Linked DNA regions of Xenopus tropicalis. The protein of the gene in region 1 purifies or fractionates together with the protein of each later gene. This does not show direct contact. Links are inferred from orthologs where the notes say so. Each region holds a gene or a part of one and is shown on either strand. Other genes may lie near its edges.

Evidence for each region.
Region 2: the proteins of cd2bp2 (region 1) and ddx23 purify together in Homo sapiens (affinity purification with mass spectrometry; 6 studies listed by BioGRID and IntAct, counting the BioPlex papers as one, with this or other methods). This does not show direct contact. The link is inferred for Xenopus tropicalis from reciprocal best matches to the Homo sapiens genes CD2BP2 and DDX23.

The regions. Positions count from the first base shown.
Region 1 is NC_030685.2:13,551,500-13,555,944, forward strand, and holds the start of cd2bp2 (CD2 antigen cytoplasmic tail-binding protein 2), read right to left. Parts: upstream 3,093-4,445; 5' UTR 3,044-3,092; intron 3,028-3,043; exon of another isoform or gene 2,947-3,027; intron 1,914-2,946; 5' UTR 1,913-1,913; coding exon 1,844-1,912; intron 1,699-1,843; coding exon 1,560-1,698; intron 531-1,559; coding exon 373-530; intron 1-372. UniProt on the Homo sapiens protein: Involved in pre-mRNA splicing as component of the U5 snRNP complex that is involved in spliceosome assembly.
Region 2 is NC_030678.2:136,000,819-136,005,124, forward strand, and holds the start of ddx23 (probable ATP-dependent RNA helicase DDX23), read right to left. Parts: upstream 3,073-4,306; 5' UTR 2,948-3,072; intron 2,195-2,947; 5' UTR 2,127-2,194; intron 1,593-2,126; coding exon 1,399-1,592; intron 1-1,398. UniProt on the Homo sapiens protein: Involved in pre-mRNA splicing and its phosphorylated form (by SRPK2) is required for spliceosomal B complex formation.

The DNA.
Region 1 (4,445 bases):
AAGTTGGGAAGCATCTAGGGATGCACCGAATCCACTATTTTGGGTTCAGTCGAACCCCAAAAGTCTCTGTAAATGATTTGGCCAAATACTGAACTGAATCCTTATTTGCATGTGCAAATTAAGCTACGGAACAGTTAAATGAAGCGCGCGCTTAATTTTTTACTTCTGTGTTCATGTGATTTTACAGATTCTGCAGAATCTTGCCTGAATCCCAAACTGAATACTGGGTTCAGTGCATTCCAAGAGGCATCTAATGTGACTGTGTTCATACAGTGCCCAACTTGATTCTTGGATTGTAATCACCCTGTTCCACCTGAAGGGACTCAAATTCTGCTATTACGTTTCATGTTCTCCCAATTCATATTCACTCACCCAGTCTATATTATCAAGCCAGTGGTCCCGAATCTGAGCTTCTTTACGCAAAAAATAGTTGCCCTCAGAGTCAAAATGCCCTTCCTCCATTTCCTCCTTCAGGTTAAAAGGAGTAATCGGAACACCACCCTCCGACTCCAGAGTAGCGTTTTCTTGTCCTGCAGAGGAAGAAGAGCAAAGACAAATTTAAGACAAATTTAAGTCAAATTTAAGGGGCTGTTCCTGCTGAATTGTGCTTAGTACAGGGGAATCCCTATGCTGCTATAGTTTTATGGTATCTCTCTGTACTGGCTATGAGCAAACTTAGGGGGCTGTTCCTGCTGAATTGTGCTTAGTACAGGGGAATCCCTATGCTGCCATAGTTTTATGGCATCTCTCTGTACAGGCTATGAGCAAACTTAGGGGGCTGTTCCTGCTGAATTGTGCTTAGTACAGGGGAATCCCTATGCTGCCATAGTTTTATGGCATCTCTCTGTACAGGCTATGAGCAAACTTAGGGGGCTGTTCCTGCTGAATTGTGCTTAGTACAGGGGAATCCCTATGCTGCCATAGTTTTATGGTATCTCTCTGTACAGGCTATGAGCAAACTTAGGGGGCTGTTCCTGCTGAATTGTGCTTAGTACAGGGGAATCCCTATGCTGCCATAGTTTTATGGTATCTGTCAGCATAACATTTGCTTTGCTCATAGCCTGTACAAAGACTTTACTATAATATCCAGTATGAAGTAGTCCGCAAAATGGCCATGATCTTCTTTTGTAGATGACTGCCCCAAGCCACCCCCAGCTGATGGGTACTTACTGCAGCAGACACCCTGATATGACTTTAGGTGACTGGGAGTGGAGAGCCCATTGTGCCCAAGTTATGCTGAGCTGGAGGAAGTGCCATCTTTTGATAGGTTGCAGTAGAGTTTAAAATTGCAGTTCAGCCTATGGAATTACTGGCCTGCCTCCAGCTCAGCATAAGCAAAGCAAGCAGCACTGCTCCTGCAGCTCACTCCCTCATCATTACTGTGGGTACCAATACACTAGGGTGGCCTGGGGGCAACTTATGCATAGGATGTTTCAGTACCAGGTATCTTTAGCTACCCTCTCCCAAACATCCTTATATTATGCGTCCGCTTGTTTCTTGTAAAGGGGTTTATAATACTACAAGAGGCACAAAGCGGGCACCCTGCTATGGAATCTCACCTTCAACATCCTCGGGGGCTAATATGTCATACTTTGCAGAACGTCCATCACTGGTTTCTTCCTCATCATCTTCCTCATCGCTGTCCAGAGAATGTTTCCCTTTAAATCGACTTCCTGGGCCTCCCACTACATCCGGGAGCTTCAATAAAGGGGTGAGACCGTGTCAGACATGCACATTGGCTAATGCAGACCGTCTATATAATGGCGTCTTTATAAAGGTTACTGGGATCAGTTTGGAAAAAGAAAAGCGACATGGTGCAATTCGGCTCTGCTTCTTAACTTACCCTTTTTTTTTTCTGCTCATCATCGTCGTCTTCAGCCCCATCCACAAATGTGACCTTCCTTTTAGACATCCTATAGAAAAGGCAACAGGCACTATTAATAGGGATGCATTAAATACAGGATTTGGCCAGTGCCTGGCCAAACCGAATCCCTAAAGTCACATGACTTTTCATCGCATGATAGCGGAAAGGAGGAGTTCTCTTTAGCCCCTTTGTACCAGGATTCAGCGAATCTTTCACAAAAGAATTCAGGGTTCAACTGAATCCCAAAACAGTGGAGTCGGTGCATCCCTATGAAAGACTACAGGTATTGGACCTCTTATCTGGAAACCCATTAGAACAGAACAATCCTATTGGGTTTATTTAATGGTTAAATGATTCCCTTTTCTCTGTAATAATAAAACAGTACCTGTACTTGATCCCAACTAAGATATAATTACCCCTTATTGGGGGCAGAACAGCCCTATTGGGTTTATTTAATGGTTAAATGATTCCCTTTTCTCTGTAATAATAAAACAGTACCTGTACTTGATCCCAACTAAGATATAATTACCCCTTATTGGGGGCAGAACAGCCCTATTGGGTTTATTTCATGGTTAAATGATTCCTTTTTCTCTGTAATAATAAAACAGTACCTGTACTTGATCCCAACTAAGATATAATTACCCCTTATTGGGGCAGAACAGCCCTATTGGGTTTATTTAATGGTTAAATGATTCCCTTTTCTCTGTAATAATAAAACAGTACCTGTACTTGATCCCAACTAAGATATAATTACCCCTTATTGGGGCAGAACAGCCCTATTGGGTTTATGTCATGGTTAAATGATTCCCTTTTCTCTGTAATAATAAAACAGTACCTGTACTTGATCCCAACTAAGATATAATTACCCCTTATTGGGTTAAGAGACCCTGTGAGTAGAAGGGAACTTGTATACAAAATAAAGGGGGGGAAAGTCTAAAACCAGGAAAATGCAAGAAAACCGCTCGGTGTGAGGAAACATGAGGGGAAGAGAGATCCCTGCAGGTTCCTCAGTATAACCCTGTTTATAACATAAATAACGGAGAGGGGATTCGTATCAAACAGGCCCCGCCCCCAGGGCCGACCTGCCGTAAATAAGGGCCGGTGTTTTGCAACTTTAAAGGCCTCACAAGTTCCCAGATCCCCTTAGTTCTAGCGCAGCTCGGTAAGTATCCAACAAACCTTTCGTTTTTCGGAAGCACTCGTCGAGACGCGGGTGTCGCAGCCGGATGACGCGCAGGAAGTGATGAAGTCAAACCGGAAGTAGGGCAAATGAAGTTGTATCGCTTTGAAATATGACTGTATAGCTGCTGCAGGTCACAAAGTAGTCGTCTTGCAGGGGATGCTGGGACTTGTAGTTGTCACTGGTGCATCCCACTGACTTATTAATGCACAATTTAAGTTAAAGCACCAGTAATAACATTAAAAAATAATTGTCATTTATTGCCACTGGTTATTAAAATGGGATTGGGTTACAGGGCTTTTTCCTGATAGTTATAGGTTTTATAACCAGAGAGAGGTCATTTAGCCAGGAATGGAAGGGCCCCAGGAGAGAAAGTAAATACATTGTTGGTCGCTTTTATCAATGAATCAGACATGGTTACATACCTCCCAACATTTTGAAACTGAAAACAGGGACAAAAATAAACGCTGCGTGCAACCACACCCCCTAAATACCACTCCCATTTGACTAAATTTACTTATTACATTTGTTATTTATTATTATTATTAACATTTATTTATAAAGCGCCAACATATCCCGCAGCGCTGTACAATAAGTGGGTTTCATACATTGGGCATACAGAGTAACATATAAAGCAATCAGTAACCGATACAGGAGGGGAAGGGAGCCCTGCCCAAAAGAGCTTACAATCTACAAGGAGTAACATATAAAGCAATCAGTAACCGATACAGGAGGGGAAGAGGGCCCTGCCCAAAAGAGCTTACAATCTACAAGGAGTAACATATAAAGCAATCAGTAACCGATACAGGAGGGGAAGAGGGCCCTGCCCAAAAGAGCTTACAATCTACAAGGAGTAACATATAAAGCAATCAACCGATACAAGAGGGGAAGAGAGCCCTGCCCAAAAGAGCTTACAATCTACAAGGAGTAACATATAAAGCAATCAATAACCGATACAAGAGGGGAAGGGAGCCCTGCCCAAAAGAGCTTACACTCTACAAGGAGTAACATATAAAGCAATCAATAACCAATACAGGAGGGGAAGAGGGCCCTGCCCAAAAGAGCTTACACTCTACAAGGAGTAACATATAAAGCAATCAATAACCGATACAAGAGGTGAAGGGAGCCCTGCCCAAAAGAGCTTACACTCTACAAGGAGTAACATATAAAGCAATCAATAACCAATACAGGAGGGGAAGGGAGCCCTGCCCAAAAGAGCTTACAATCTACAAGGAGTAACATATACAGTGGTGTGAAAAACTATTTGCCCCCTTCCTGATTTCTTATTCTTTTGCATGTTTGTCACACAATATGTTTCTGATCATCAAACACATTTAACTATTAGTCAAAGATAACACAAGTAAACACAAAATGCAGTTTTTAAATGAGGGTTTTTATTAT
Region 2 (4,306 bases), on another chromosome or scaffold:
ATATTAGTTTACTAGTGAAGAAGTTTAATGCATCAACATCTTGCATATTTGAAGACTATTTAGTCTTTTCAAAGCTAACATCTATGTCTCAGCACAAGCCTATCTATAACCACTGTGCTTTTTATGCAGCTAGAAAAGGCTCTGAAAGTCTGCAAAAGTAAAAAAAAAAAAAGCAAGTAATCATAACTCATTGCATGATATACATTTAGCTATATGCTTACAAAATTCCCACAATGAAATAACTTGCAACGCAAGATTAATTTACAGTATGTCAGTTTACAGTTTACTTTGTAAATAAACACACTGTCCACAGTAACATCTGTCACATGGCACCATATTAAAGTGCATTGCAAAAAAAAAAAAAGTTAACCCTAAATACAAGCAAAAAGGTTGAGATCTATGGCATTGATTGTGGGGATGGATTGTTAAAATATGCATACTGTGTGTCCAGTCCAATGCCTATTCTGTTTTGTGCCAGCTGCTACAGGAATAAGGCCCCATCAACCACAATGTATTTGTTTGAAAGTATTACCTCGCAGATTAATCAATGATATAACCCTACAGACTGGTAGGCAGAATGCTACAAGGCCTGACACTAGTTTATATCTACATGAGATTTTTTTAAAAAATAACTAAAAATGTTTACCACTTTCCTTCTCCATAAAAGGTACAAATTTCTATGCCTAAGCTTATTTGCTATTGCCACGCAATCTGTGACTGGCCATCATACTAGAACTGTGTGTGGGGGTGCTGGAGAGAAAACTAATTAGGTCCAAAAAAACCTGAATTTACATATCTGGCAAGTTCTCTGGCCATGGGAAAGGTTTTATAAAGCAAAAATGAAAGCTGAATTTTGTAGTTTCTTTATCCTTAAACAAAACAAGGTATCTCTTGCCAGTTAGAAAAAGTAATGTTTATATAAATCCCCTTATGTTCGGGCAACACTGCTGGGCATAATGAGTAAATGCCCAGCTTGAGCTTTATGTACATGTGACATAGAATCGGCAAAAATACCAACCTCTGTTGGAGGAAACAACTTTTAGGTAATAAAAGAACCTATCATTTTGCCACCCAACGCGATTTTTCGTGTGTGGACAATAAAGAGCCCACAAATACCCCTTCATACACTAACCTTATGATAGCTCTGACCCCGCCAGCATAATCTCTTGATTTAGCAGTGAGCATTTTAAAGTCAGTGCTTTAACGGCTGCAAGTTCAGGTCAATCACCAGGTTAGCCTTATAAGGGGTTATTGTCACTGCCATTAAAACTGCATCATTTTTTATAAACACAATTTTTATGCAAACATTGTTTAATTCCAAAATTCCTGATGTTTAGAGGAATCACCAACAACTAATGCTATTAAATTATAAACTGCTATTTCTACACAGTCACTCACCTTTCATTTGATTTGGAGCGTGAACGAGAACGACTTCGAGATCTTCTCCTTTCCCGAGAGCGATGTCTTTTCCTGTCTTTGGAGGGTGATGATTTCCTATCGCGGTCCCTCTCAGCTGATCTGGAACGGGAGCGCTTACGCTCCTTGGATGGAGACCCATCACGGTCTCTTTTATCTGTCAGTTCTCCTGCCATCTGTACATAATCACAAGCAATGGTGAGACATGATTGAAAGGCATTAACAATTCAGAAATTACACACAAAAAAATTAAATAGTTCTCAAGGGAATAGTATGCTGGCCCTATGTGTTTTTCAACAAAAGGATCACCAGCCCTGGGCCTAAGGTAAGTAATTATGTTAACTAACAAACTTGCACTCACCAGTAACAACCCCTTTCTTATCCTCTAAAGAGCATGCCAAAATAAATGTAAAAAAGTATAGAGGCTACTGGGTGCTCATCAGCAGCATTGACAAATGAATCTCTAGATAAGTGTCTTTATCAAATAGGTTATTTCAAACTAGGTCTGAGGTTTTGATTTGAGGCCACAGACTGTATGGTTCCTCAATTAACTGTTGAGGGCTGTCAGCAAACAGGAATAAGAAGAGGCACAGGTCAAGCCAGATTGTGGTACATGCAGTGCACCGCAGAGACTAGCTGGCAGCTTCAACAAATAATATCAACAATTATTTTATGCAGTATATATAAATTAAAATAACCTGAACACTTACTTTCACCTAATCACTTTTATACAGGTAATGTCTCTTTGTTAGAGCCTCAACATGGAACGTGAGCAGATCTGTAAATCAGAAAAGATTATCATCAAGCAACACAAATGAAAGCATCCTCTAAACCACACCACCAAATTCCAGACTTAGCCCTTAATAAAATGTTTCTCATAATACTTACAAACATACTTCCTAAAGACATGTTGCCAAAGCTGTAAAATCATAAATATTGGAAGCAAACCCATACAGTCTCCTATGACCACATGTAGGCAATGTGAAAATACAAACTGCATTGCCCTGGAGACTGCTATTGCACCCCGTATAGCCCAACCAGTGGCTCATCAGCAACATGTTGCTCACTACCCCTTTTCATGTTGCTCCTATTAGCCTCAAAGTAGGTGCCCATTTTTACTTTTCTGGCTTGGAGGCAAGTGTTGGAAGCACAGAGACACAGATTTATTTAAGCAGAGCCTCCTGCAGCCTAGCAGCCCACATGCCCTCAGTCCAATGCGGCTTAGAAAACAGAAGGTAAAAAGGGCTGTATTCATACTACAGTCTGATTCAACGCCATACGCCTCCATAGCGAGGAATGGTGATACAGGTTCCGTCATGTTGCTGTGGCGGGTCAATTTGTGTATTGGAGTAGACTATCGCAATAAACGCAGCAGTAAGGCAACACATAGTGAAGTGTGTAAAGGGCCCTATACAAGAGACACACGCACACAAGCCAGCTCTCATACACGGACTCACAGTAAGCGCACCTGCTCCGCTAACTCCGACTCACCACAAACAGATATACCAACTTCTCAGCTTCGGCCACTTACCTCCATAAACTCACTCTACAACGTTTCTATTCCGCCGCCATGTTGGCTAGAGCATTTCCGTGGCATTCTGGGAACGCGTCACGGAAGGAAGCGTGCGTCGTGACGTATGTAAAACTACATTTCCCGAAATGCTGCTGCGCGCTAGGGGGGGGAAAAAACTCAATTTCCCGAAATGCCGTGGTGCGTACAGTGACTCCTCGGCTAGGCTAGGTATGTTTCATTTAGTCTTGAGCAGTTTTATTAGGTTGGGTTTATCCTAGATATCAAGCTTATACAATAATACAGTACAGAATAAAACCGGAATGTAAAATATGAGATAAGATCTAAGGAACACCCTAATGACAGTGGCAGTAAGGCTTTTTTTTGAGTTGTTTTATTCGCTGAGCAATTTTACAATAAAGTGGGTGGGCAAACACTCGAAATCACCTCTTGTTCATTATATTGGTATCTAGCTGGTCCCACAAATGAGACAACTATCGCTTAGAATCACTGACTACCGAAATTTCAAGCAACAATTACTTAAAGGAGACATATCCTATATAAATGATGAATGTACCAGTAAATTATACTCCTCTAGATATAGAAGGATTGTGCTTAAAAAAGTTGTGTTTCTAACTGATTTATTGAGAAATTCCCCCAAACCCCACTAGCCCCGCCCATCTGTTCCACTTCCTGCTGGCTGAATTCTCTGGATGAGCTGGGGAGCCACACTGTAGGATAGGAACCAATCAGCAGCTAGGCTGACCTGATAGGGAACTGAAGCCTGTCTTTGCTTGTGTGAGTGCAGGGCTGTGATTGGCTCTCCCCCTCCTACTGTGCCTCTGGCAGGGGCCGTTAGGACACGCCCACTCTTCATTTCACACTTGACTGAGAAGTGAGAGGATCTATAGGGAGCTCCAGTAAAGGGGCCATTGTTACAGATAGGATTAATTTTTAGCCCAAAGGGAAACCAGCACCGTATATTATTCATAATTGCCTACAAAATAGGCGTTTTTCCCCATTTATCCAATATGTCTCCTTTAAAACCGATGCTTTAGGCAATTGTTAATGAAATGGGGGTCATTTTTCTAGTGGGTTTTAAGATAACTGAGGGTAAAGGTTCTTAGGTTTAATATAGGGCACAAGTATGGGGCCCTAAGTGGATGAGGAGAGCATTAGCACATTGATGCGGTCTTGGACCAATAGCCTTTGTCCCCTCAAGGTAGTGATTTGGAAAGTATATACACACAGCCACGTCATAAGGACATAAAAAAAACACTGGTCCAATAAACAATAAAGCATAGTTTCCAGCCTTTTTCCAACTGCTGAAGACATGGATGTGTTTTGGGGAATCCATGGACTGCAAAAGATGCTTGGAAT